Macaca mulatta: one gene and its partners. The protein of the gene in region 4 binds, or shares a complex with, the protein of the main gene of each other region. Links are inferred from orthologs where the notes say so. Each region holds a gene or a part of one and is shown on either strand. Other genes may lie near its edges.

Evidence for each region.
Region 1: POLR2L (region 4) and ERCC2 share a complex: the UniProt entries of both Homo sapiens proteins name them as parts of the TBP-based Pol II pre-initiation complex. The link is inferred for Macaca mulatta from reciprocal best matches to the Homo sapiens genes POLR2L and ERCC2.
Region 2: POLR2L (region 4) and GTF2F2 share a complex: the UniProt entries of both Homo sapiens proteins name them as parts of the TBP-based Pol II pre-initiation complex. The link is inferred for Macaca mulatta from reciprocal best matches to the Homo sapiens genes POLR2L and GTF2F2.
Region 3: POLR2L (region 4) and TAF1C share a complex: the UniProt entries of both Homo sapiens proteins name them as parts of the pol I pre-initiation complex. The link is inferred for Macaca mulatta from reciprocal best matches to the Homo sapiens genes POLR2L and TAF1C.
Region 5: POLR2L (region 4) and TAF1A share a complex: the UniProt entries of both Homo sapiens proteins name them as parts of the pol I pre-initiation complex. The link is inferred for Macaca mulatta from reciprocal best matches to the Homo sapiens genes POLR2L and TAF1A.
Region 6: POLR2L (region 4) and GTF2A1 share a complex: the UniProt entries of both Homo sapiens proteins name them as parts of the TBP-based Pol II pre-initiation complex. The link is inferred for Macaca mulatta from reciprocal best matches to the Homo sapiens genes POLR2L and GTF2A1.
Region 7: POLR2L (region 4) and UBTF share a complex: the UniProt entries of both Homo sapiens proteins name them as parts of the pol I pre-initiation complex. The link is inferred for Macaca mulatta from reciprocal best matches to the Homo sapiens genes POLR2L and UBTF.

What each region holds. Positions count from the first base shown.
Region 1 is NC_133424.1:57,890,402-57,894,714, reverse strand, and holds the start of ERCC2 (general transcription and DNA repair factor IIH helicase subunit XPD), read left to right. Parts: upstream 1-1,474; 5' UTR 1,475-1,526; coding exon 1,527-1,531; exon of another isoform or gene 1,532-1,599; intron 1,600-1,824; coding exon 1,825-1,924; intron 1,925-3,259; coding exon 3,260-3,337; intron 3,338-3,414; coding exon 3,415-3,477; intron 3,478-3,666; coding exon 3,667-3,780; intron 3,781-4,313. UniProt on the Homo sapiens protein: ATP-dependent 5'-3' DNA helicase. Component of the general transcription and DNA repair factor IIH (TFIIH) core complex, not absolutely essential for minimal transcription in vitro.
Region 2 is NC_133422.1:24,463,029-24,466,583, reverse strand, and holds part of GTF2F2 (general transcription factor IIF subunit 2), read right to left. Parts: intron 2,421-3,555; coding exon 2,276-2,420; intron 1-2,275. UniProt on the Homo sapiens protein: TFIIF is a general transcription initiation factor that binds to RNA polymerase II and helps to recruit it to the initiation complex in collaboration with TFIIB.
Region 3 is NC_133425.1:79,551,604-79,555,775, reverse strand, and holds the start of TAF1C (TATA box-binding protein-associated factor RNA polymerase I subunit C), read left to right. Parts: upstream 1-1,369; 5' UTR 1,370-1,529; intron 1,530-1,859; exon of another isoform or gene 1,860-1,977; intron 1,978-2,507; exon of another isoform or gene 2,508-2,630; intron 2,631-2,822; exon of another isoform or gene 2,823-2,926; intron 2,927-3,305; 5' UTR 3,306-3,412; coding exon 3,413-3,550; intron 3,551-4,172. UniProt on the Homo sapiens protein: Component of the transcription factor SL1/TIF-IB complex, which is involved in the assembly of the PIC (pre-initiation complex) during RNA polymerase I-dependent transcription.
Region 4 is NC_133419.1:734,135-738,333, reverse strand, and holds POLR2L (DNA-directed RNA polymerases I, II, and III subunit RPABC5), read left to right. Parts: upstream 1-1,351; 5' UTR 1,352-1,378; coding exon 1,379-1,473; intron 1,474-3,382; coding exon 3,383-3,491; 3' UTR 3,492-3,764; downstream 3,765-4,199. UniProt on the Homo sapiens protein: DNA-dependent RNA polymerase catalyzes the transcription of DNA into RNA using the four ribonucleoside triphosphates as substrates.
Region 5 is NC_133406.1:80,428,590-80,432,144, forward strand, and holds part of TAF1A (TATA box-binding protein-associated factor RNA polymerase I subunit A), read right to left. Parts: intron 1,011-3,555; coding exon 841-1,010; intron 1-840. UniProt on the Homo sapiens protein: Component of the transcription factor SL1/TIF-IB complex, which is involved in the assembly of the PIC (pre-initiation complex) during RNA polymerase I-dependent transcription.
Region 6 is NC_133412.1:154,446,061-154,450,250, reverse strand, and holds the start of GTF2A1 (transcription initiation factor IIA subunit 1), read left to right. Parts: upstream 1-1,348; 5' UTR 1,349-1,424; coding exon 1,425-1,454; intron 1,455-4,190. UniProt on the Homo sapiens protein: TFIIA is a component of the transcription machinery of RNA polymerase II and plays an important role in transcriptional activation. TFIIA in a complex with TBP mediates transcriptional activity.
Region 7 is NC_133421.1:68,584,133-68,587,687, reverse strand, and holds part of UBTF (nucleolar transcription factor 1), read left to right. Parts: intron 1-1,190; coding exon 1,191-1,255; intron 1,256-1,533; coding exon 1,534-1,654; intron 1,655-2,012; coding exon 2,013-2,123; intron 2,124-2,459; coding exon 2,460-2,593; intron 2,594-2,718; coding exon 2,719-2,860; intron 2,861-3,134; coding exon 3,135-3,176; intron 3,177-3,268; coding exon 3,269-3,382; intron 3,383-3,472; coding exon 3,473-3,555. UniProt on the Homo sapiens protein: Recognizes the ribosomal RNA gene promoter and activates transcription mediated by RNA polymerase I (Pol I) through cooperative interactions with the transcription factor SL1/TIF-IB complex.

The DNA of each region.
Region 1 (4,313 bases), on a different chromosome or scaffold from region 4:
GCCTCCTGAGTAGCTGGGATTGCAGGCACATGCCAACATGCCTGGCTAATTTTGTATTTTTAGTAGAGACGGGGTTTCTCCATGTTGGTCAGGCTGGTCTCGAACTCCTGACCTCAGGTGATCCACCCACCTCGGCCTCCTAAAATGCTGGGATTACAGGTGTAAGCCATCATGCCCAGCCAAAACTAGCATTTATTGAATGCTTAGTATGTGCTAAACCCAGTTTTAACTGCTTTATGTGATCTGAAATTAACTCACCTAATTAACAGACTATCTACAATAGTAATATGTAATTAACAATAGTAATAGTCTCTAATTAACAATTAGATTATTGTAATGCTACAATGTAGCATCACCTACATTGTAGATAGTCTGATTGTTAACTACTTTGCAGATACAAAAGTGTAACCCCAGGCCAGGTGTGGTGGCTCACACCTGTAATCCCAGCACTTTGGGAGGCCAAGGCGGGCGAATCACGAGGTCAAGAGATCAAGACTATCCTGGTCAACATGGTGAAACCCCATCTCTACTAAAAAAAATACAAAAACTGGCCAGGTGTGGTGGTGTGCCTGTAATCCCAGCTAATCTGTAGGCTGAGGCAGGAGAATTGCTTGAACCTGGGAGGTGGAGGTTTGAGTGAGCTGAGATCACGCCATTGCACTCCAGCCTGGGCAACAAAAGTGAAGCCAGGATTATGAACCCAGGAATTTTGGTTCCAGAGCCCACAACTTAGCCACTAAACCACACTGCCTTTTCGTTATTCCCTTATTAAAACACCTATCACAGTATTTGGCAAAAAGTAGGTGCTCAATAAATAGGAAGAGCTGTTTATAAGTTATTTATACCACAGAAGTCTGGGATACATCCTGTATTTTATATCATTTTGACCATGTATATTATTTTATTTTGATTTGTTTTCATTCATTTGTTTTTATTTTATGTTATTTAAAAATTATTTGTATTACTTTTTTTGTTTTACAGCACGTATTTTATAAATGCATTTTTGGTGCTGCAAAGCCATTTCTAACTCTCGGGCCCAGAAAGGATCACCAGTGTCCCTGTCATTCTCCGTTAGAATCTCTATTCGCTACTGAGACGAATTTTTTTTGTTTGTTTGTTTGAGACCAGGTGGAGGGGCGGGGGTTCTCGCTATCTTGCTCAAGCTGATCTCGAACTCCTGGGTTCGATCAATACTCAGACAATCTTGGCAGGCGCAGGAGGACCAAATTCTAGCGAATGAGATCGATTCTCTCGGATCTCTCCCTTCCATGTTTTCTTTTTGATTGGCCCTCGACGATCCTCAGTGACGCCTCCCGAACCGCCTCTCCCGAGAGTCAGCAGCCCTCGCTTTTCCGTGCGCACGCGCAGTATCCCGATTGGCTCTGCCCTAGCAGATTGACGGGCAGATCAGCCAATGGTCTTGTAATATAGGTGGAGCGAGCCCTTGAGGATGTCCACGACCCGGCCTCTCGCTAAATATTCATGAGGGAGGCGGGTGGACGCCACTGCACACTCCGGCCGGCGCCATGAAGTGAGAAGGGGGCCGGGGGGTCGCGGCTCGCGAGCGGGCGCGGGGGTGTCTTGAAGATGGGGTCACCGGTGGGCGTGCCTGGGTCCCCAGTGGGGCCAGGGGAGGGTGAAGGGGTGGGGCGGGGGCAGCCGCAGGGAACAGCGGTGATAGCGAGGAGGCACTGAGGCTCCTGAGGACCTGAGGGTTACCAGGGGCGCCGGGCAGGTCACCCTTCTGGGCCCGACGACCGGGCAGTGTGGAGGCGGGAGAGGGGCTGAGGGGACGGGGATTGACCCAGCAGCCACTGCCGCCAGGCTCAACGTGGACGGGCTCCTGGTCTACTTCCCTTACGACTACATCTACCCCGAGCAGTTCTCCTACATGCGGGAGCTCAAACGCACGCTGGACGCCAAGGTGGGTGGCCGGTGGGCCCGACCCGCCCACTCGACCAGTGGGGCTGCCACGCCTGGGCCTAAGACAGATTGCAGGACGTCTGGATTTTAGAAGTAGGAGGTCCTTGGAAATCCAGGACCCCATAATCTTCCGTTATCTAAAATAATAATGGTGAATAGGCTGGGCGCGGTGGCTCGCGCCTGTAATCCCAGCGCTTTGGGAGGCCGAGGAGGGCGGATCACTTGAGGTCAGGATATCGAGACCAGCCTGGCCAACGTGGTGAAACCCCGTCTCTTCTAAAAATACAAAAATTAGCCAGGTGTGGTGGCGGGCGCCTGTAATCCCAGCTACTCAGAAGGCTGAGGCAGGAGAATCGCTTGAACCCGAGAAGCGGAGGTTGCAGCTAGCCGACGTGGCGCCATTGCACTCCAGCCTGGGCGACAGAGTGCCACATTGCACTCCAGCCTGGGCGACAGAGTGAGACTCGGTCTCAAAAATAAATAAAATAATAATGGTCAATAGGCTGGGCGCGGTGGTTCAGTGCCTGTAATCCCAGCACTTTGGTGGGAGGTGGAGGCGGGAAGATCACTTGGGGCCAGGTATTGGAGACCAACTTGGGCAACACAGCAAGATCCTATCTCTACGAAAAATTAGAAAATTAGCTGGGTGTGGTGGTGCTTGCCTGTAGTCCCCACTGCTTGGGAGGTTGAGGCAGGAGGATCGCTTGAGGCCAGGAGTTGGAGGCTGCAGTGAGCCATGATTGTGCCGTTGCATTCCAGTCTGGGCAACAGAGTGAGACCTGTCTCTGAAAAAAGAAGGGAGAAAAGTTCACTATATATCAGCTACTGTGCTAAATATTTAATGTGCAATTTCTCACTAATCTTCACAGTCATGTTATGAGGAAGGTTTTATTATTAGGCCCATTTTATTTTATTTATTTATTTTTGAGACAAAATCACAGGTGCACGCCACCACTTCCGGCTAATTTTTTGTATTTTTAGTAGAGAAGGGGTTTCACCATATTGGCCGGGCTGGTCTCGAACTCCTGACCTCAGGTGATCCACCTGCCTCGACCTCTCAAAGTGCTGGGATTACAGGCGTGAGCCACCATGCCCGGCCTTAGGCCCATTTTAGAGGTAGGGATACTGAGGTCTGGGGAGGTGAAGGTACTCACCTAAGACCACTCAACAAGGAGGAGGCAGAAGTGGGTTTGAACCCCACTGCCCAATTTTAACTGCTGCTGTGTTATCCTGCTGTTCCAAGTTGGTGGCATTGGAGGTCAGGGAGAGTCCCCAGAGTTTGTGTGCCCGAGGTTCTGAGACCCTGTGTGTTGTCCCTCTGGTTCCCAACATGCAGGGTCATGGAGTCCTGGAGATGCCCTCAGGCACTGGGAAGACAGTGTCCCTGTTGGCCCTGATCATGGCATACCAGCGGGTGAGTGATGCATTGAACCCGTAAAGGCAGACAAAAGAAGGGATAGGACAGGGACTGAGTCCACTTGTTATCGGCAGGCATATCCGCTGGAGGTGACCAAACTCATCTACTGCTCAAGAACTGTGCCGGAGATTGAGAAGGTGAGCCTGGACTCATCCTGGTGCTCCAGCTCCACTGTTCCCTAGGCCCTATTGGTCCCCCTGGTGGTGGCCATCACCAGCTTTCGGGGGTGTCTGGGAAGCTCGGGAAGAGGCTGGGGCCTGGCAGGGCAGGGGTTTGTGCCTCCAATGAACACAAGCTCCCCCTGCCCCCCCCCAACTTTGGAGTAGGTGATCGAAGAGCTTCGAAAGTTGCTCAACTTCTATGAGAAGCAGGAGGGCGAGAAGCTGCCATTTCTGGGGCTGGCTCTGAGCTCCCGCAAAAACTTGTGTATTCACCCTGAGGTGAGCACCCGTCCCTTCTCCTTGCCCTTAGCCCAGAGGTAGAGGAAACTCTTTCGTCCAACTGCAAGTCCTGGATCCCCAGGCTGGACCTCTTGCAAAGGCATGCAGTGGCTGCACACAGAATTCCCATCTCACTGGTCAAATTCTCATTCATCGTGGCCCAGGCAAGCACACCTCCTCAGGGAGTCTTCCAATTCTACCCAGGCCTGGGAGAGGTTAAAAAGGCAGCTCTTAGAGTCTCTGGAAGACCTGGTTTCCTGGCTCTGAAACTTACCAGCCGGGTATTTATGGAGAGGCGTTTTCTGCTGCCTGGGCCTCAGTCTTCCTTTCTGTAAAATGGGGATAATTATGTGCCTGCCTCATAAGGTCGCTGATGATAAAATTGGATGAAATGATGCAGCCGATGCCCTTAGCATGTACAGAGAACTAAAAGAATGTTAGAAATTCACGGCTGGGCACGGTGGCTCACGCCTGTAATCCCAGCACTTTGGGAGGTCGAGGCGGGTGGATCACAAGGTCAGGAGATCGAGACC
Region 2 (3,555 bases), on a different chromosome or scaffold from region 4:
CCTGCCAAGATAATCCTCATAAAACCACGTTCCCTTCAGAGTACACTGTAGCCAGAAATGTGAACACGAAATGTTCAAAAAGAGCACAACACTAAAGTATTTTTAAAATGTAAAATGGAAGACTAATTTTGAGGCTAACAAATGTTAGCTTTCTAAATCACTGTCTTTGTAGAAGCACCAGAAATAAATCATGTTTTCAAAAAATTAGTCACTTAATAAGATGTAAAAAATCTGTAATAGGGTACTTTTTTCTACAAAAAAAAGTTCAAGTTTCCCTACCTCAAACTTTTATCAAGGCGATGTCTCCTTTTTACTATCTTGGTGCCATGCCTCTTCCACTCTAGGACAATCACAAAAGTAGAGAAAACCTCACAGGTTCAATGGATCTTATTAAATCTCATCAATCAAAAGGAATAGAGTTGTTGAAACTAAAACTCCTTAACTCTTTTTTTTTTTTTTTGAGATTGAGTCTCCCTCCATCACCCAGGTTGGAGTACGGTGGTGCAATCTCGGCTCACTTCTACTTCCACCTCCTGGGTTCAAGCGATTCTCCTGCCTCAGCTTCCTGAGTAGCTGGGATTACAGGCACCCGCCACCACGCCTGGCCAATTTTTTATTTAATAGAGACAGGGTTTCACCATGTTGGCCCAGCTGGTCTCGGACTCCCGGCCTTAGGTGATCTGCCCACTTCGGCCTCCTGAAGTGCTGGGATTACAGGCACGAGCCACCGCGCCCCGCCAAAACTAAAACTCTTTAACATACTGAATTCAAATGCGCTTTTAATTTCAGACAAATTTCAGATTTTTAGATAGGTCTATACTATGCCCTGAACTATGCAGCATGCAATAAATATTTGTTGAAAGGTTGAATCTTCTCCAGTATAAAATGGATGTATTGAAGAAACTGTTACTTTTCTGCCTTCCATACTACTACACTATTAATTATTAGAGCATCAGAAAACTGCAGTGAAACCAACCTTCTACCTTCAACTACATAACTGAAGAATTATAATTTACCATTTTGTTATACTGTACACCCAAGAAAAAAAGAATAATTTTTAGATCATTTTATGTAGCTATTGGTAATTGAAGACACCACAAAAAAATTTATGAGGATGTACCTTTTTTTAACCAATGGTGTTCTTAACATACTATAATTTCTTATAGCTTCCTTTGCAATGTTTGATGAAATACAACAAAATCACAAATGTTTTCTTTTATCAATAAGCTTTTTGAACCAGATAGCAGAAAATTAGCTCCATTAAACTAAGGTGGCCTGTTGCTTTAATAGTATTCTAAACTCAGTGAAAGATAAAAATCCCAAAACATGGAAAATATACTCATGCTGAGTGTGTGCCACAAGAAAGTTCCTTCTGTATTTAATTCACAAATGGAAACATTTGCTTCTGATTTATTGAACTGTTAAAATATCTCATTGCAAACACACACAATCTTAAAACTCTACACAGAAACTTCTTAGAAGCCAATATCAATTAAAAGTTATCTCTGTGCAATAAAAAGGTCCCCTTGGTATACAAAGCATACAAGATGAAAAATTCAGACTAAAATATTCCCTAATATCGAGCTGTATTTTTAAAGTACAACTTATACTTGCTAAATATCAATTTACTAAAACAAGCAACGATGACCTTATCTTGGCAAAATTCAGAATACTGTTTCTTCAACATCTGAGAAGGCAGCTTGATGAACCACATTCTTCCATCTGCTTTGTTCTATATCTTCATATCCCAAATAATTAAACCCTTCTCAAGTAATGGCCAAAATTTCATTAATCACAAGAAAGTACACAGAGCAGAGAAGTAGCATAGTATGAATAACAGAGGTACACAAAATGAGAGATGGAACAGTCTTGGTAATGACCTTAAAAAAGCAAACAGGAGGCCGGGTGCGGTGGCCCACGCCTGTAATCCCAGCACTTTGGGAGGCAGAGGCAGGCGGATCACCTGAGGTCAGGAGTTTGAGACCAGCCTGACCAACATGGAGAAACCTCGTCTCTACCAAAAATACAAAATTAGTCGGGCATGGTGGTGCATGCCTGCAATCCCAGCTACTCGGGGGGCCGAGGCAGGAGAATCGCTTGAACCTGGGAGGTGGAGGTTGCAGTGAGCTGAGATTGTGCCACTGCACTCCAGCCTGGGCAACGAGAGCGAAACGCCATCGCAAAAAAAAAAAAAAGCAAACAGGAGTGTATGTTGAGACAGAAAATCTATACAACAAGTACAGGAATCACATTAAATAATTCCATTCCCACTTACCTGATGAGCTCTCAGTAAACACTGTTAATGTCTGTCCTCCGACACTTTGCAAGACAAATGGGTGTTCTCTAGGAGCACTGACTGAAGCCGGTTTTCCACCAATATCATGAATATTTGCAAGGTCCTCATTCAAAGTAAATGACACCTAATAGACACATTAACCAGAGATTATAACAGACTTTTGTATTCAAACTACATATAAAAAAATTTTAGTTATAAATCAAATTGTTTTTAAATGTGTTTTCCAGTCATTTCATTAAACACTTTAACTTTATTAAAAACTCCTTAATACTTGCTCACAAAAAGAGAATGTAAACTGGACACACTGGTGCACACCTATAATCCCTGCTACTTGGGAGGCTGAGGTAAGAAGATTCCTTGGGCCAGGAGTTCCAGGCTGTAGTTCACTATGAAAAGCCATTGCACTCCAACCTTGGCAACACAGCAAAACCCTGTCTCTTAAAAAAATCAAAAGAGAGAAAGACAATCTATTCCCGTTTGTCAGAATAATGGGGCTAATAAAAAAATAACAAAATCACATCCTTTGCAGCAATGATGCAGCTGGAAGCCATTATCCTATGTGAATTAGTGCAGAAACAGAAAGCCAAATACCACATGTTCTCACTTACAAGTGGGAGCTAAACATTGGGTAGACATGGACCTAAAGATGGGAACAATAGACATTAGGGACTCCAAAAAGAGAGAAGAGACCAAGAGTTAAAAAACTACCTATTGGTTACCATGTTCACTATCTGGGTGACAGGATAAATATCAGCCCAAATCTCAGCATCATGCAACATACCTATGTAACAAACCTACACATGTACCCCCGAAATAAAATAAAAATTACTACAACTAGTAAGAAAATAAAAAACAAAAACAAAAAGAACAATGGGGCTAATCTACCATCATAAAAAAAGACAGTTTTCATGTTTTCTCTAGTCTGTGGCTGAAGAACTCTTTCCAAAACAGGGGTAAGATTATTTTTTTCCAGCTGGGCGCAGTGGTGCTGGTAATCCCAGCACCCTGAGAGGCCGAGGCAGGCGGATCACTTGAGGTCAGGAGATTGAGACCAGCCTGGCCAACATGGCAAAACCCTGTCTCTACTAAAAATACAAAAATTAGCCAGGCATGACAGAATGAGACTCCATCTCAAAAAAAAAAAAAAAAAAAAAATCATCTTTTTTCTTTTTTCCTAAAAATCTCTGAGGTCTGAGGTCAAGGGATCATGTCTTACTATATTTTATATCCTTAAGATCTAGCAGAGTGCCTGGCTTATA
Region 3 (4,172 bases), on a different chromosome or scaffold from region 4:
ACTATAATCACATGGGTCCTTACATGGGAAAGAGGGAGACAGAAGATTCAAAACCAGAGAGATGGCCTCATGAGAAGAATCCAGCTGGCATTGCTGGCTTCGAAGATGGAAAGGGGTCATGAGCCAAGGAACACAGGCAGCTTCCCGAAGCCAGAAAGGGCAACACAGTGGACTCTTCCTTAGAACCTCCCAAAAGGAACACAGCCCTGCTGACACTTTTAGTCCAGGTAAAAACTTCCAGAAAAAAAATATATAGGCCAGGCACGGTGGCTCATCCTGTAATCCCAGCACTTTGGGAGGCCAAGGCAGGCGGACCACTTGAGGTCAGGAGTTCGAGCAGCTTGACCAACATGGTGAAACCCCACCTCTACTAAAAATACAAAAATTAGCCGGGCATGGTGCTGCAGGCCTGTAATCCCAGCCACTCGGGAAGCTGAGGCAGGAGAATTGCTTGAACCCAGGAGGCAGAGGTTGCAGTGAGCCGAGGTCACGCCTCTGCACTCTAGCCTCCATCTCAAAAAAATAAATAAATAAAGATACAGATGACAGCTGAGAATTTGGAAATTGATTATTTGAAGCAACGGTTCTCAAAGTATGGCCCCTGGACCAGCACCATCTGGGAACTTGCTAGAAATGCAGACTCTTGGGCCACATCCCAGACCTACTGAATTAGCAAATCGGGGGGCAGAGGTAGGGTGGAGCCCAGCATACTTATAACAAGTCCCCCAGGTGGTTCTAAGGCTCACTCAAGTTTGAGAACTACTATGTTAGGATAATGGTAAGGTTTATGACTGGACAGCGGTTCTTACAGCATGTGCCCCAGATATGCAGTATCAGCATCACCTGGGAACTTAGGCAAATTATCAGGCCCCACCCCAGACTCACCGAATTGGAGACTGTGTTTTAACAAGCCCCCCAGGTGCTAATGCTGACGCACACTAGCTAGAGTTTGAGGACCACTGCCTAAAGCTCTCCCTGCACGACCACCCCTGGAAAAGCCTCACTCTTAGGAGGTATTTGTACCCTTATTTGTGAAGCCCGCTTCTTGGGATTTAAGGACAATCAGTAGGATACCTACTGACTAATACAGTGTCTGGCTTATAGTAGGTGCTCCGTGAGAGTTCGTTAAATGATTAATTTAATACAACGCTGAGGAAATTGATGAAGCAGATGTGGGATTCGAACCTAAGTCCACCCGGCCTCCACTATTGGAACTCGAGGGAGCTTTATTTCCGCAGCCCACGCGCCGCCTGCACGCCCGTTCCCTCTCCTCCCGGGAGGGGGCGCGCCAGGACCCTAAGAGGCCTGGCTGGGAGGTGGGACTTCCTGCCTCACCAGCAGGCACTTCCGGTCCAAACCGGAAGACCGTGAGTAGCTGCGGCGGGGCTGACCCATCCTGAGTGCCAAAGCTGGGGTTCTGCTTAAAATTTCCCTCGTGGTGTCAGGGTCCGGCGAGCATCACGCCGAAGCCCATTTTCCAGACGACCACGACGAGACCGGGGTCACGTAAGTGCATGCGCCCCCTCCGCGCGGACTGGGCATGTTCGAGAGGAGTGGACCCGCAGATGTAGGAGGGGAGGGACTCCCTCAATCCCCCGTCCCCGCGGCTGGCTCACGTTTCGCAGTCCCCGGCCTGTCGTTAGTGCGGACCCGACTGAGTCCTGTAGCCTGGGAGGTCTAAAGGGGCCTGGAGAGCCCGCAGCGAGGGCGGGAAGCCGGCCGGGGATGTCGAGGCTGCCTTGTCTGAGGGCTTCTGTGGGGTCGTGCGCTCCACCAGCCCTCTCCGCCTGCCTAGGATCGTTTCAGGCTATGCGGTTCCAAGAGAAAATATTTTTGTTTCTATTTTATTTTTGAGATAGAGTCTTGCTCTGTCGCCCAGACTGGAGTGCTGTGGCATGATCCCAGCTCACTGCAACCTCTACCTCCCAGATTCAAGCGATTCTCGTGCCCCAGCCTCCTCAGTAGCTGCGATTACAGGTGTGCACCACCACGCCCTGCTAATTTTTGTATTTTTAGTAGAGACAAGGTTTTACTATATTGGCCGGGCTGGTCTCAAACTTCTGGCCTCAGGTGATCCACCCGCCTTGGCCTCTCCAAGTGCGGGGATTACAGGCGGGAGCCACCGCACTCGGCCGAAGGGAAAAGATTTTTGTTTCGCGAGACTCTTAATGCTAGCGTTTGCATTTGGGTGCATGCGAGAGCAGTGGTTCAGAGCTCTGCCTCTGAATCGGATGGGAATCAAGTCTTGGATGTGGCAGCTAAGAGCTGTTGAACTAAAGTTCTTGCTGAGCCTTGGTTTCCTGAACTCCGTGACAGGGGCTGCGGTAGAAGAGTGCAGCATTTAGCTTGCGCCTGGCAGATAGATGCTGGCGCTTGGTCAGTGAGAGCTGCTGTTATTTTTGCCCCTGTTTTGTTTTGTTAATTAAAAAGGAGGGATGCTATGGCTGCTCATACTTCTAGAGGACTGTATTTACCAAAGCCTTGTGATATAATTTTTTTTTCTCGAGATGGAGTTTCGCTCTTGTTGCCCAGGCTGCAGTGCAATGGCGCGATCTCAGCTCACTGCAACTTCCGCCTCCCGGCTTCAAGGAAATCTCCTGCCTCAGCCTCCCGAGTAACTGGGATTACAGGCATGCGTCACCACTCCTGGCTAATTTTGTATTTTTAGTAGAGACCAGGTTACTCCATGTTGGTCAGGCCAGTCTCGAACTCCCGACCTCAGGTGATCCACCCGCCTTGGCCTCCCAAAGTGCTAGGATTACCGGCATGAGCCACCGTGCCCGGTCTCTTGTGATAGAAATTTATTTTTATTCAACCCGTAGTGCATTTTCTGGGAGGCACTGTGGTTGACAATAGGAAGACAATGCTGAGATGCAGTCCGTGGCTGTGGAGTAACTCCAGCGTCTTGGGGGTGTAGTCTGTAAATGTATGATGACGTTTTGAGCTGTGAGAGAGGCTGCCCCTTGCCGTCTATCTGACTCCATCTCTACCGCTCTCCACCTCGCTCACTCTGGCTGCCTCGTTTCTCACACACTTCACTGCTCTAGGATTTTCCCAGTTGTTGATCGTTTTGCCTGGAACCCTCTCCCCATTTGTGTACGTGGTTCTCTCCTTCACTGGGTTCAGGCTGTGCTCAAACGCCACCTTCTCAACGAGGCTTTTCCTGGCTGGCTTTGCTGAAACCGTGCCCTCAGCCCATTACCAGATCCCCTTCTCCTGGACGGGTGGTTTGCTTTAATACAGTTCTCATTACTGCTTGGCATTGGGCTACATATTTGTTTTTTGTTACCTGCTTCCTCAAAGAGCATGTGCTTCCCATCGTGCACTTTTCTCTCCGCAGGAACCCTGGCGCCCCTTACCAGCTTCCAGTCTCTCGAGGTGGCCAGTGTGGTGCTTGGTCCTTATTTCCGGGATGGACTTCCCCCACTCCCTCCGCCCCGCGTTGTTCATGACTGGACCCCTTGGTCTGAGCGACATCGCTGACCTCTCTTTCACGTGCAGCTGGCAACATGCGCTGACTCTGCCGGAGACCCAGCCCCAGAACTCAGAGGTGAGGATGGAGGCAGCGGCCCTGGCAGCTCCAGGAACACCCCTTCCTGGGTCCCCTGTCTCACATTCATACCGGTTGAAAGGCCACAGAGTGGGGTGGCATTCACACAAGTCTGCTGAGACACAGGCTGTGCCACCTCCTCTGGGGCACGTGGGCTACCCTGCCATCCCTAGACGGATGCCCCCACTATGCCAGATGCCATGTGAGACCCTGGAAATGCTGCCTGAATCAATCGGTTGACCCCTTCCTTCCTGGAACGGAGAGCTGAGTTGAGCGAGAATAAACAAGTGAACTTTATCCAATGGATAAGGTGTTTGCAAAATGTGATCAGAGCTTGGAATGAAACCAGAAGGATGCTGAAACAGCGTAGTAGGATTGGGAGAGGGGAGGATAGACCTGCCAGGGTTTCTGGTGCCTCTGGAGGGACACTGGCCCTTTGCTTAGAATCCTCAGCCCCCTAGTTCCCCTTGGAAACACCCTGTCTAGGAATGAGGCCTGGCAGAGGCAAATGGATGAGCAAATAAAAAGAGAGTGGAGTGGGGGCTTGGGGAACAGGGGTCAGGGATGGCTTCCTTATGAGGGAAGGTCTGACATCAAATTGGGGCTCCTCGAGGAGTCTGGT
Region 4 (4,199 bases):
AGCACCACTCTGGATCCAGAAAACCCTTCATCCTCCTCCCCTGCAACTAAGGCAGACCCAGCATTGCCCTGAGAAAGCGGCAGCTGATGCCTGGAACCCAGCACAGGTCCCACCCCAGCTGGAAGCCCCAGCCCAGAGCCCCCCCATGGGTGCCACTTTGCAGCCCACCCACCCCCCCACAGCCTACCTGGCACCTCCAAGGAGTCTTCTTTGCCTCCTACTGCACACCGACCCCCCATTTCCTCACCCCCACCCTAGGGGCACAGCAAGGAGGGTGCTGGTGCCAGCCCCCCCGCACTCCATCCGAGAGACACGGGCTCCCCCTCCCTCGTCCTCCGTAGGCCCTGAGCTCCAGGGCAAGGCAGAGCTGCGGCCTTCAGCGGGTCCTGCCAGTGCAGCCTCCGGGAGTCTGCCCAGGGGTCCCCTGTGCCGGGGTCTTCAAGGTTCAATTCAAAGAGCACCTCTTCCACGACGCCCTCCCCGACCTCCCTCCCGGGCCCCCTCTCCCCGTGCTCAGAGGCGCGTCTCAGCGTCGGGACGGCCAGCAGCCCAGCAGAGCCGGGACCGGGGAGGGCGCACCCCGACCCCCTTCCTGGGAAGGAGCGGAAAGAACGCGGACAGGAGGCCGGGGCGGGGAGCAGCCGGCGGGGGCCGTAACTGCGCGGCCGAGGCCAGGACGGCGCTCCTAGGGGCTGGGCCGCGTCCAGAATGGGACCCCCGAACTCGGCGCCGAGAGCCCCGGACACCCCGCGAGTAGAGGCGGAGGCGGAGGGACCCACTACCCGGCGGGGCCAAGAGGGGCAGCAGGAAGACCCGCCCCGGTCCGCGCCCGCCCTCTCCCCAAGCCCCCGCGCCGGACCCCACTTGTTGCTGCGTGTCGGCTCTAGGCTCGAACTCGCGCGCCCCGCTCGCGTCCGGCTCCAGCCGCTCCCGGTCGGACACCTCGGGCCGCGAGACCCTGGCCGCACGCCCCCACGACCCCCCGGGCGCTCTACCTGCGCCGCCGCCTCCCGCTCGCTTCGTCCGCTCCCTCCGCGCAGCTGTCAGTCAAGCGGACACGAGAAACGCGAACCGCCACCGCGGCTTTCGGCCCTGCTCAGACGCCGTAGCTCCGGGACGCACCAAGATGGTGGGCGGGGGTGTGTCGTCTGTTGCTGCCGCGGCCGTGCAGGCCCAGGAGCCCCGGGCCGCATGGGGAATCCCCATGGCGGCGGAAACTGCGGCCAGCTGCGCCGGGGCCAGTGTATGAACGGCTGGGGCAGCGGAGAACGAGCGGAGCCGGTCCCCCCGCGATAGTGGACGCGCCCGGGGCGGGGCCTGGGGGGAGTGCTTCCCGTGCGGCCGGACCGGGCCGGGCAGTCTGGGACGCGCCGCCGCCATGATCATTCCTGTACGGTGTTTCACTTGCGGCAAGATCGTCGGCAACAAGTGGGAGGCCTACCTGGGGCTGCTGCAGGCCGAGTACACTGAGGGGTGAGGCGCGGGCTGGGGCCGGGGCTGGGGGCTGAGTCCGCCCTGGGGTGCGGGCCGGGGCGGGAGGCGCAGCGCTGCCTGGGGCCGGCGCTCCATGAGCAGCTTCATACCCGGCCACTCCGGCCCAGCTCTGTGATCTGCTTTCGGGAGAACATTGTCCCCTGAAGTCTGGGGAGAGAACGGAGTTGGGCTTCAAACCAGTGGTGTCCTGGGGATTCTAGGTGGCCTGGCGGGTGGCAGGCGTCTTGTCACCCGCAGTAAAGCCCTTGGTCTCCGTCCTAATCTCTCGTCTCTGCTCCCAGACCCACCCCATGTCCTGCAAACCTCGCTGCAGGACGGGCGGGCGCGGCGGCTCACGCCTGTAATCCCAGAAGTTTGGGAAGCCGAGGCGAGAGGCTTGCTTGAGCCCAGGAGGTCGAGACCAGCCTGGACAACCTGGGGAGACCCTGATCTCCAGAAATTTTTTCTTTTTTTTTTTTTTTTTGGGGACGGAGTCTCGCTCTGTCGCCCAGGCTGGAGTGCAGCGGCGCGATCTCGGCTCAGTGCAACCTCTGCTTCCTGGGCTCCAGGAATTCTCCCCAGTCGCCGGGACTACAGGCGTGTCCACGCCCGGCTCATTTTTGTATTTTTAGTAGAGATAGGAGTTCGCCATGTTGGCCAGGCTGGTCTCGAACTCCTGACCTCAGGTGATCCACCTGCCTCGGCCTCCTGGAGTGCTGAGATGACAGGTGTGAGCCACCGCCCCTGGCCCTCTTATCTTTTTAATTCCCCGGACTTGGTGGTGCACACCTGTGGTCCCAGCTACTTGGAAGGCTGAGGCGAGAGAATCGCTTGAGGCTGGGAGGCAGGTGAAGATTTCAGTGAGCCGAGATCACGCCACTGCACTCCAGCCTGGATGAGAGAGTGAAACTCCGTGTCACGCACACACACACACACACACACACACACAGAAAAAGAAATGCAGGGCAGACTTGCTGACCACCCTCATCATCGGGCTTTGTGGGGGAGGCATCCTTCTCCTGTGCTTGTCCCTCGGTGCTGCTGTCACCACCGTGCCTGAGTCTTGGTGCCCCTGCTGGAGTCTGACCCTTGCCTGCTGAGTCCTGGTCACATGTGAAACCCCAGGCTCGTGTGTGCCAGCCTGCCATAGGCTCTCAGTGCAGCTTGCTGGACGAATGAGTAAAGCGAGTGGGCTGCCAGAGTGAGTGGCTGGTGGCCTGTCCAGACCCTTTCCCAGGGATATGAACTGCAGGGGCCTCCCATGTGGCCTCCCCTTTCCCAAGCTTCTCTCTCTGCACATTGGAGCCATCAGTGTGGGAGTTTTCTGGAAGTATTGATGGTGACTGGACCTTGGTCCCAGGGAAATTAAAGCTTCTAATTGGCTTGGGAAATGGGAGAGGTGGCTCCCTGGAGAAGCAGTCTCTCCCTGATTGAAGGAAGCAGAGGTGAGAAAAGACGCCACAGTGGCAGAGTAGGGCTTGCTCTGGGGTGGGGGATGAACCAGCTAAGGGCAGGCCCCTGGAGAGCTACCCTGCTGTGGCTGGTGCGGGATGAGGGGAGCTGCGCATCAGGACCTCGGTGGCCTTGGTTTTCTATGCTCCCCCAATTACCTCTAGTTTTCGTTTCATTTATATTTCTTACATATGTTAGACACACATATGTACAGCCAGAGTAGGTGGGAGAGAAGGCTCCTCACGCTCCACCCAGGGATCTGGGCATTGCCAGGTTACTCCAACCAGGATCATACCCCTAGGTCTCTACTTCTCATCCAGGTGAATGTGTTCGCCTTGCCGGTAGCAGGGGAGTGAGGCCAGCAGGCAGTGAGAGGCGGCCTGGATGTGGGCTCCAGGCCTGTGCAGACCGTGGAGAACTCAGCTGGCCTCTCTGTTCCTCCCCTCGCTTGACACAGGGATGCGCTGGACGCCCTGGGCCTGAAGCGCTACTGCTGCCGCCGGATGCTGCTGGCCCACGTGGACCTGATCGAGAAGCTGCTCAATTATGCACCCCTGGAGAAGTGACCAGGCTGGAATCCGCCTACCTGCCATGCTGACCATGGGCCATGAGCATCCTGCCCCAAGTTCACAAGGCTGAGGCATCCAGGAGCTGGCGCAATGCCTCGCCACAGCGTGTGTGTGTCCCATCCCCCACTCTGGAAGGAACAATCCAGTAAAGGTCTTTCAGAACTACCAAGGTCCCAGCCCTCACTAGGATGTCAGGGGCCAGGACTAGGCCCAGCTCTCACACCGCGGCAGCCCAGGGAAGCCGACTGGGCCATGAATTCTCCTAGCCCTGGGGCCAGCCTGTTCCACAGGTACCCCTGCAGGAGGTGCTGCCAGGAGAGCCTTCCATCTCAGGGCTGAGGTTCCCTCCTTCTGGGTGCTCTTCAGACTGAGCAGAGGCTCCTGTACTCTCTCTCTTGGAATCTGAAGAGCCAGATTTAGGCCAGGCACGGTGGCTCACCCCTATAATCCCAGCACTTTGGGAGGCCAAGGCGGGTGGATCACGAGGTCAGGAGATTGAGGCCATGCTGGCTAACACGGTGAAACCCCGTCTCTACTAAACATACAAAAAAAAAAAAAACAGCCAGGTGAGGTGCCGGGCGCCTGTAGTCCCAGCTACTCGGGAGGCTGAGGCAGGAGAACTGCTTGAACCCGGGAGGGGGAGCTTGCAGTGAGCCGAGATTGCGCCACTCACTCCAGCCTGGGTGACAGTGAGACTCCATCTCA
Region 5 (3,555 bases), on a different chromosome or scaffold from region 4:
TCATGGGAGAAAAAAAGGTTCTAAATTTAGAGTGTGGTAATGGTTGGCTGCACAACTCTGTAAACATATGAAAATACATTGAACCGTACAATTTAAATGGATGGTGGTGTATTAACAACGTCTTGATAAAACTAAAAAAAAAAAAGATCACTCTGGTTGGAAAAAGAGAACAACTCTTTCAAGAAGTTTTGCTGAAAGAGAGTAAAACTAGGAAGCATAGTCAATGGGGGAAGTTTGGGCCAAAAGACGATTTTAAGACAGAATAGGCTGGGCATGGTGGCTCACACCTGTAATCCCAGCACTTTGGGAGGCCAAGGTGGGCGGATCATGAGGTCAAGAGATTGAGACCATCCCGGCCAACATGGTGAAACCCCGTCTCTACTAAAATACAAAAAATTAGCCGGGCGTGGTGGTGCACGCCTGTAGTCCCAGCTACCCAGGAGGCTGAGGCAGGGGAATCACTTGAACCCAGGAGGTGGAGACTGCAGTGAGCCAAGATTGTGCTACTTCACTCCTGCCTGGCGACAGAGCAAGACCCTGTCTCAAAAAAAAAAAAAAAAAAAAGAGTAACAAAATTTTTACATGATGATGGGAAACATCCATAAAGAGGGGGGAAAAGGAAGAATTATTGGAATGAATATTTTATTCTCCTTTAAAATAACAGGTAAAAAGAAGTATGTAAATAAGGTCCCAATACAAACTCTCCACCCAAAAGTAGTTTTAGTAGCTTTTAGCAAAATCACTGAGATTCTGTAAAAGGTACTATAGGTGAAGGTGAAGCTGGAGGCAGAAACTCCTGGGAATCTATCATTTCTTCCAGCAAACTCAAACTTTGTTTACCTCAGGTGCAGCCTGCCTTTTGTAGCTATCTGAATCTTCCAAGGTCTGAAAATAACTGTACATGTATTCTGCAGCTTGCTGCCATTGGTGCTTCAGCAGAGCTTCTTGGACAAAACTTAAACAAGCACTTGTTGTCTGAGCAAAATCCTTCTTCCTTTTCCCTCCAATGGCTATAAAAATGAAAAAGAAAAGAGTTTTTATCCACAATGGCTCCAGTTCAACTATTCAAAAAACTTACTTCTGATGAGAAGTTTTAACAAGTAAACAGTAGGCATTACTTGATCCAGCCCATTTCCAGTATCAAAGCCAGCTTCACTTGAAACAAACCCTTCTACATTATATTAATTATTTTTAGCAGATAAAAAAATATCTAATTTGATGTTTTGGGGCTACTAGAGTCATCAGAGCCTTTAAATCTGATTCAATCATCCTTTAATCCTTGTGCTAAATAATTTGGGTAGAATCTCTCAAACAGGCCCCCAAAAGCACAGTCCCAGGTATTTAGAATGGGTAAAATGCCAGGTCATTCTAGGCAAACATGGTCTTTATTACCTACCCATGTTCTGCAAACTCCAAGTGGGCTTTCATTTTTTAAGGACCAAATTCCTAGTAACTCAATGATATTAAATACAAATGAGATTAAAACAGTTGCAAAAATAAACATTTATATCTCTAAAGTATTGGCAATCCCAATGTTAAGAACATTTGGGCTTAGATACAGGGCTATTATATAAATGACTAGTTACATTGCTACCTCTTCTTCTCTTCCCACAGAACTACGAGACCCCTCTAGTCCAGCTGGGTAATTGTACCCCAGTAAGTACACAAAGACCAACAGGTACTTTGCAAAGATACTTTTAAAACAATTAACTTGCAGATCTTTGATTTCCTTACATACCCTTTCCACAAGTTAATCTCCTAGACAGCTGTGCCTACATAGTCAAAGCTTCACAATCAAAATCATTACATATTATCTGAAGGTGAAAACACAGGTGTTGAAAAAGTAAATAACTCTAACATCTCCTTTGGCAAGTCAGCCAATTCCCAATTCTTTGCTTATCAAAACTGCAGAACAACATAATTTTTTACAATAAATCATGTAATTTTTCATGAATAATTTAGAAGAAATTCAAGGACCTGATGCATGGCTATAATTAAACTCCATTCACTGCCATCTTCTTACTTATGTGACTAAGGTTTCTCAGAATTTATGTCAGTTAAAAAAAAATAGCATAATCAATGCTAAATCTTTTCTCATCCTAGAAATACATAAAAGTCACCCACAAATATATAAAAAAAAAATTGGGAAAAAGTTTTAGATAACTTTATTTAAAAAAAAAAAAAAAAAGAAAAAGAGAGAGTCTTGCTCTGTCACCCAGGCTGGACCGCACTAGCACAATCATAGCTCACCGTAGCCTTGACCTCCTGGGTTCAAGTGATCCTTCCTTTTGGCCTCTCAAAGTGCTGGGATTATGAGCATGAGCCACCACACCTGGCCAGCAACACTTTTAATACATGTAATATTGATCAGCTATGTACAACTATTAATGATAGCAACGTCTCAACCTAGAAAAGTTTTAATTCTTAAAACTTATAGGATATAAACACAAAAAAGTATAAATGTTGATACATAACTTTTATTGCAAGAAGTACAACAAAAAGGAACATAAAATTCCATCTATTAAAAACTTTTTCTTAATTTTTAAATGGATAATGCAAGGTATTAAAACTGTATGTCACTCCTATGCTATCTGGACTCCATCACATATAAAGTAATATATATTCATTTAAAAATACCAACGTGCTGGAAATTACAACTCTTGAAAATATTAAACATACAATAAAATATTTTCAGATGATTCCTTAAAACTGTGCAAGGTAGTACTCAATTTTTCAGAAAAAAGTAGGGGATACAAAAGTGAAAAGTTTGAAGACTACTGCGCTAGTGTTCTCAGACTTTTGAACGTACATACAAATCACCTGGGGACCTGCCTGTGCTACTCAATGTGGTCTTGGAACATGCAGCAGAAGTATCACCTGGAATCTCATTACAACTACAGAGTACTATGCCCAGCTCTCTGAATCAGCAGCTGCATTTTATAAGATCCCCACACCAAAGCTGCTCAGCGTCGGTGGCAATACCAGCCAGCCAGCCTAGGAAACTGACAAAACACCTCATCCTTACAACATCTTTTATTTACCTAAAGGAGAGAACTGTTCTCAGGCTAAGCTCCCTTCTATCGCTCAAGCTTTCACAACTGAGACTACAAATGGACTTTAGATAACTATACCTAAATGCTTGGAAAATACTTTTGTCTTCCAACCTAGCCTAGTTACCTCAGGAAAAGTTCTCTTCTCATTTCATTCTTTAATGAGCAAAAGATAGTCTTACTTGATCCTGATAACTTTAAGAAAAAAAAAATGGTCAAGGAAAACACATTTTTACATGGAATAGAGATGTACAATAAAGAACTAGTGTCATCAACCTAACTTCTAATATGCTACTCAAAGAATCTGGAAACTTATCAGTCTGTCAACAAATATTTTTTGGGCACCACTGTGTGCCAAGCACTACTGCAGGTACTCATCATACAGCTTCAATCCAGACTGGCCCTGTCTTCAAAGTTTTTGTTCTAAGGGGCTTGCTGGGCATGCCCTTCAAAATGCCAAAAGATATCTACCAGCATAAAAAAGAAATACAGCAACTGTTAGGCA
Region 6 (4,190 bases), on a different chromosome or scaffold from region 4:
AGGATTTGCTTGGGCAGAATAGGTCAAAAGCTTATTGAATTGCACATGGAACACAGCCTGCTTGCTCTCTTATAGCGAGAGGCCATGAGAGTTGCTGGGTCAAGGGCATGCATTTCAATGTGATCAGTCACTATACGTTGGCCATGCGGAGTCGCAGTTTTTGGCAATATTTTTAAAAACCAGGGAAAGTTACTGTGCTGTTATAATCCAAAGGCTGGTGGGGTTTTCTTCCCCACCGCATCTCCACTAGCGTGATAAATTAAAGTACGTGGGCTAGTAGAGAACTAACCTCTGGGCAACTTAAGCCTAGTCTTCGCAGCGTACCCAGTGTGGAAACAAACGAATCAGAGGTTACTAATTCTGGAATGTTAAAAGTGGGCCCCGATCGGCGTTTACTCCCTTTGGGAAATCCTATACAATTCTGCGCGCGAAAGACCCACCCTTGGTGAGGCGCGAAAGCCGAGAAGCTTATAGTCAAAGCCTCACTGACAAATCAAGAGATGACTCCGCATTTAAAACCTTCCCGAATAGGAACGCGCCAGAGGCCGGAAGCTACGCCACGTGACCAATCCTCCTCCGCGGCCATTCCTAGTGAGGCAGTAGGCACCGCCTCTCACATTTCCTAACTCCTACAGCGCGGGACCGGGCGGAAACCTGCGACAGGAGGCGGTCCCACCTAGCTTCGGAGTGTCACTAGAACTCGCGTCTTTTCCAGCAATGCTTTGCAAGTACTTCACCGCAAAGAACTGCCGCAGACTTCCGCCTGGGTGCCAACCACGTGATCAGGCGAGCGTTGGAGAGGCGTAGGTCCGACTACACTAGTTCACTCCCCGGGCTCCGCCAGCCCAGCACCCACCACGGCGCGTGACAACGCGGCTCGCGGCGGCCTCCGCCCCGGCGCGCCTGCGCACGCGGCTCTCGCGGTGTCTCGCGCTCAGCCCCGCCCACATCTGCCCCCGCCCTTTCCGCCCCTCCCTCCCCCTTCACCCTGTTTCTCGGCGGCGGCGGCGGCGGTGGCGGCTCGCGCAGCTTGTTGGCTCGCTATATAAAGGAGAGAAGCGGGCGGACCGGACGGCTGGAGCTGCAGCCGGTGGCGGCAGCGGCGGCGCAGGGAGCGGCGACCGGTGGTGGTTTCCCTCCTTGGCGCGGGGTGGGGAGCGGGCAACGCCCCCCGGACCCCTAAAGGGTCGTGGCTTTTTTTTTAAAGGCGATTCTCGAGGTTTTTAGCTGCGGGAGGAGTGCCCCCCTCCTCCTCTCTCCGCTCTCCCTTACTCCTTCAGGATTGATTTTGTTTAAAATTTTTTCCCCAATCTTGTGGTGATTTGGGTCACCCTCCGGGTGTTTTAGTTTTTTTTTTTTTTTTTGGTTTTGTTTTTATCTTGTTTTCTTGGGGTTGCCCCCTCTTGTTTGTGTTGTGTGTGGAAATGGCGAACTCGGCAAATACAAACACCGTGGTAAGGACGTGGTTCGGTGGCCGGCGGGGGCTTCGTTCAGGCGGCAGCAACGGCCGGACCGGGCGGGGGCGGGGACGGCGGCGACTCCCGGCCTCGACTCTTCAGCCGTCCGCGCGGCCGCCGCCGCCGCCGCCGCCGCTTCCCGCCTCGGGCGGATCGGGCCGGAGCGCCGGGCGGCGGGCGCGGGGGGGCGCCGAGGGCTCGCGGCGCGGGGAGGGCGGGGGCGCCGGCGGGGCCTGGGGCAGCCGCGGGCCGGGCCGGGCCGCGGAGGCCGTTGGGCCCGGGCGGGCGTGCAGCCCCGGCCCCAGAACCCGGCCGCCGGGAGGGAGGGCGGGAGGGGAGCCGCCGCTTCCCCGCGAGGGGCCCGTCCGTGCTGTCTTGACGAGGGCTCCCCGAGCGGCTGCAGAACAAAAACCGTGTCTGGGGAATCGGGCGAACCCCCGAGACCCACCGTGATCCACTTTAATGCAGTGGAAGAATAATGATTACTTTGGGGGTTACTTAGGTTTTTTCTGGCTGTTGTGCTTTGGGAACCTTCACTGGGGCCATTTTATGTTTAAAAAAAGGAGGAAGGTTGGTTGAAAAGCACTTATCTCAGTTCCTTCCGAATGGGTAAAATGGCGAAGGGGAAGACCCCCATCGTATCTTCGACTAGCAGAAGCACCAAAACAAACAAAAAAAGCCTGCAGTGGTCCAAGTGTCCCCGCTTTCGCCTTGAAATTTACCTACTTCTTCCCGTTGGTCCCTTTTTGGTTACTTGAGATCACGTAGGTTTGCAAAAAGCAGTCACATAAATAACCTTTTCAGTCACCAACGCAATGTGATCACTAGTCCACCCAACTCTTATTTTTATGATGACAATAAAACACGTTTTTGCCCTGTCCCAAATGCCGCAGACCAGCCCGCGGCCGCCCGACACCGTACCGTTGGCGACTCGGGTCGATCCATCATGGCTGCGGCCGCTTACCCTGCTTTTCAGTCCCTGAGCCTTGTGGTCCTCCTCCCTTTGGCTGCCCTGTTTATATAGAGCCATTGCCGCTCTCTAATATAGACTCTGCCAGGATGGGAAGGTGCTTTTCAGTACTACGTCACCGCCTCTCCATTTAAACACCAGATCCGGCTTTAAATAGTGAGAGCTGCTGAGAGCGGGGCTGGGAGGTGCGTGCTCCCGAGGCGAGAGCCAGGCGCGTGCAGAGCTCAATTTATTTCTAGGTCCTTTTTTCACGCTGTAATTTCTCATCCGTCGGGGGCTGCTTTCAGAGCCCCAAGTTTTGGTTTTGTTCCTAGCAGCAGCCAGGATTTGCCTTCTTTGTTTGCTAGGGGAAATATATCCGAATCGCTGTCCCTTTTTATTTTGTTTACAGTTTTCAAAATTTATAATTTAAAACAAAGAGTTTTAGATAAGATGGTCTAGCCGTTTTTCTTGTGTGCATTATTTTCGGGAATTTAAAAAACTGTTTTCTACACTGAAAGTGTTAGCTGCAGAGGACTCGGTTTTGGTAGTGTTTTGTTTAAGTATTCAAGAAATATGTTAGAAATATAGCTCCCAATATTACATTATGTTTTCCTATAGTAAATATAAAAGACACGAGGCTTTTCAGAGAAATAGATAAGTACCTAAAGCTTCAGTATAGGACCATTTATGTGTATGAGAATCATGAGTAATTACAGGGAAGAGACATGCTGCAAACTGGATTAAAAAAAATTCTAAGTAGAACTTTATTGCCTTGGATATTAACATGGATATCCGGTGTAAAAATTATTCCAGTTTATCTTCCAGCATTGCATCAGGGAATTAACATTTTTGAAGGAAACCTTCTAACAAATCACTTAATGCCACTAGTGGCCCTCTTATTTACCAGTTCTTAAGTTTGAAATAACCTGTTTTTTAAAAATCAGGATAAACCTAAATTGTATTTCGTGATAGAAGCTTTGCCTGAAATATAGCGTAGAATTTTAAGTAATAATTTAGAAATTTCTTGTTTCGAATACTAACTATGTGCCCACATACTTTTCAAAAATTACCTTGAGGGCTTTTCAAATTGTGAACAATTCTGCTAAATTACTTATTAGGCATGTATTTTGTGAAGAGTACACATTTCCCTTCCTTCAACTATAGAGCTTATGAAGCTGTTAAGTGGTCAAGTTGTGAGTTCATTAAGACACAAAAATAAAATCTTAAATAATGATTCATTAAGTAGAGAGTACTAGAAGAAAGCAGATTTATACCTATACGTGTCTGGATCTCCAGGCAACAGGTTTTTAGAGGTAACTGACTTCAGAAACACCAAAACACCGTCTAGTTTACTGAAAAGCATACATATTGTCAATTTGAGATTGATATTCCCAATTTAAAATATATTGCCCTCCTGATGTCTTGAGGAGTCATTGTTGGTTAAAACACACACACACACACACTTTACAGAGATACTTTTGTAATTCAGTTAAGTCACTTTAGGCAAGATGATGTCCATAGTCAGATATACTTTCCTTATATATAGAATTAGAATGTTAAAGTAGGGACTATAGAAATGTGCATTTTACAGATGAACAAACTTCAAGAGGAGGATTTGGCAAAATAAAGCAGGTTAGTGAGTGAAACAGTAAAGCAAGAACCCGGATATTTGAATTGGTTTTCTTGTAATGAGAAGGACTAAATAGTTTTTAATGGTTGAGGTAAATTGTACTGACAAACTCATTTGTATTTTGTTTGTTTTCTGAGACAGGGTCTGGGCC
Region 7 (3,555 bases), on a different chromosome or scaffold from region 4:
GGATGAGGTGCTGTCCTGGGGGGCACAAGACTTGGGCCTGTTCTCCTGGCTCTGCCACTGAATCGCTGTGTATGGGGCCTTTGGTAAGTCATTTTACTTCTCTGGGCCTGGTCCTTATGTGAGGTGAGCCAGGTCTGTGTGGTGTTCTCCAGCTCTAAAACTGTTTTGTCTGAGGAGGACTGAGATTGGAGAAGAGGAGGCTGAGCTCTGCTTCTGGTTTTCTGTGGGAACTATGGGAAAGGAGCGCTGCCTCTCTCTGTCTGGTGCTTCTATAAGAGGCGGGTTGGGCTCAATTGCCATGAGCTCCTGGCACCTGCCAGTGCCACTCTTGTGAGCCTGCGAGGATGAAAGAAGAGATGGACATTGCGTGGCAGCCAAGAGAGGAGGTTGATGAAGAGAAAGAGACACATTGGAAAGGAGGAACAAGAGGGAGACTTTGCAGAAGTGGGGAAAGATGCAGGGAGGGAGTGAGGTGAGGGTGGGAAGGCAGTGGGGAGGCCAAAAAGGGGGTGATGAAGGGAAGGGAAGCCAAGTGGTGGGAGAGAATGAGTGGGCTGAGGGAGGGAGGGCTGGAGGGGACAGACAGCTGGGATCCTAGAGAAAGGGAAGAAGGTAATGGTGTCAGAAATAGGCGGGAAGGTGCAGGGCAGCTGGCTGTGACTTGTATTGGAAGAACTTACTCTGGGTTCCCCTCCACACAATCTCCCCTCATGCCTTGGAAATAGGACTCAGCCCAGCCCTGGCCCCATGTAGAGGCCACCTCCAAGGGGCCAGACTAATGTCAGCTGCCTCATAGACAGTGAGAAGAGGGAGCAAGGCCTGCACCCGACTCCACTGTGAGAGTTCTGTGGTATTGGAGAAACGAGTGGGGGAGCCTCAGCGCTGCCACCACGCACTGTGTGACTGTGGGTAATGCCATGGCCCCCTTCTGGGACTCTCGCTCAGAAGGAGAGAATAGGATATAGGATTCAGTGTCTGGGCAGCCCCTGCAGCTCCCACCATCTGTGGTAGAAGCCAGCAGGTCTGCTCTGTGGTGAGTCCCGCCGGGAGGCGGGCAGGGCACCAGCCTCCACTCCCTGCATCACAGCGTGGGAGGCAGAAGAGCCAGCGAGGAGGGGCCTGGGTAGCCTTCATAGCTCAGGGCAAGATACCCTTGGGTCCTGGGTGACCCTATCCCCTCCTCCCCCCAGATGAAATATATTCAGGACTTCCAGAGAGAGAAACAGGAGTTCGAGCGAAACCTGGCCCGATTCAGGTAAGGCAGTGGAGCCCAGAGGAGGGCTATGGGGAACTGGGGGCAGCAGAATAGGCTAACCCTGGCCAGAGCCTGGAGTTTGCCATCTCTGAGGCATGGAAGAGGATGGGTCACATGTGAGCCCTAGTGTGTCATGCTCAGGGGCAGGGACAGGCAGGCAGCCACTGTCCCACTAAGCCCCAGCTGAAAGGCCCAGGAGGCTTGGTGGGTGGGGCAGCTAGCTTGGGTCTGCCCTGACAGCGTCCCCTGCTGATCCTTGCTCCCCATGTCCTGGCTAGGGAGGATCACCCCGACCTAATCCAGAATGCCAAGAAATCGGACATCCCAGAGAAGCCCAAAACCCCCCAGCAGCTGTGGTACACCCACGAGAAGAAGGTGTATCTCAAAGTGCGGCCAGATGTGAGTGTCCGGCCAAGGGCTGGGGATGGAGGATGCACGGCGGTGGCCAGGGGGGAGCCGCACCAGGTCGGCCGGGCACGGTGCAGGGGAGCAGGAGAGGAGGCCCCTCCCCAGGGGTGGGCTGCATGGACAGGGCCCGGGCCAGCTGGCGTGCGAGCGTGTGCGTGCGTGCGTGTATGAGCCAGTCCCCTTGCACCTAGGCGGGATTGCCGCTCTCCGCCTTCCCCTCCTGGCCTGTGGGGGACACTGATGTGACCTCCCATGGCCTGAGGGGGCGGGGGCATCTGTGCCCCCTTCCCCCCTCCCCCTCCCCCTGCCCCTGGCTGCCTGTGCGTGTCTGACGGCTTTTGGTTTGCAGGCCACTACGAAGGAGGTGAAGGACTCCCTGGGGAAGCAGTGGTCTCAGCTCTCGGACAAAAAGAGGCTGAAATGGATTCATAAGGCCCTGGAGCAGCGGAAGGAGTACGAGGTTAGGCTTCCGCTGCGCTCCTCCCTGTCCGGCTCTTCACGAGCCTCTGCCCTCTGACTCCGTGGCCACCGCACTCTGCGGGAGGTGTCACTCCCCATCCTCTGTTGAGGGAGGGGCCTTCTGGGCCCCTCACCTCTGCCCCTACCTTCCCCACCCCCCACCCCTATGAGATCTCAGGCTAGGGCAGGGCAGGGCACCATGTCTCATGTGACACCATTGACGCGCAGCCATTCCCAGCTTTGCTCCCTGCCTGCCCTCCCCAGCGGCTCTCCCCGTGCCCCTGCCGCAGCTAACCCCACACCCCATTGCCCTCCATCCCCCCACCTGGCTCTGCAGGAGATCATGAGAGACTATATCCAGAAGCACCCAGAGCTGAACATCAGTGAGGAGGGTATCACCAAGTCCACCCTCACCAAAGCTGAACGCCAGCTCAAGGACAAGTTTGATGGGCGACCCACTAAGCCACCTCCGTGAGTGCTGCCCTGGGGTGGGTGGGCGAGTGGGCAGCTGGGAAGTTGGGCTGGGCTCTACGGGTGAGGCGGCCTGCTGTCCTGCTTGCTCACGGGCTGCGCCTCTCTCCCCATGGCTCTGATAGGAACAGCTACTCGCTGTACTGCGCAGAGCTCATGGCCAACATGAAGGACGTGCCCAGCACGGAGCGCATGGTGCTGTGCAGCCAGCAGTGGAAGCTGCTGTCCCAGAAGGAGAAGGACGCCTATCACAAGAAGTGTGACCAGGTGAGCTGTGGCAGGGGCCACCCTGCCTTGGGGTTTTGAAGCATGAGGTCTGATCCCATCTTGGGCTAGTCAGTCCCTGGTGGCGTGTGCCTTGGGTACTTGCCTCCAATTCGGTGTGGGGCTGGGCTGGGCTTAGCAACTGAGCCCATCCAGGCAGGGAGTCCAGCCCACACCCAGGCTCTGGAGGCCCACTGAAGGTCACTGTCCTCCGAGTACTGCAGGGTCTGTGGTGACACTGTCACCAGAATGATCCTGACTCCACTCACTTTCCCAGAAAAAGAAAGATTACGAGGTGGAGCTGCTCCGTTTCCTGGAGGTAAGTGTTCCTCCAGTAGGGCAGTGGGCAGAGAGGACTGGGGCTTGGCAGGCAGAGCCCTCGTGAGCCCTGTGCCCCTCTTTCCTCTCCAGAGCCTGCCTGAGGAGGAGCAGCAGCGGGTCCTGGGGGAGGAGAAGATGCTGAACATCAACAAGAAGCAGGCCACCAGCCCCGCCTCCAAGAAGCCAGCCCAGGAAGGGGGCAAGGTGGGCAGAGGGTGCGGCCGCGCAGGCGGGGGTGGGCAAGACTGGGCTCCCTGGCAGCACCACGGACCCCGACCCTCTGCACCTGGACAGGGCGGCTCCGAGAAGCCCAAGCGGCCCGTGTCGGCCATGTTCATCTTCTCGGAGGAGAAGCGGCGGCAGCTGCAGGAGGAGCG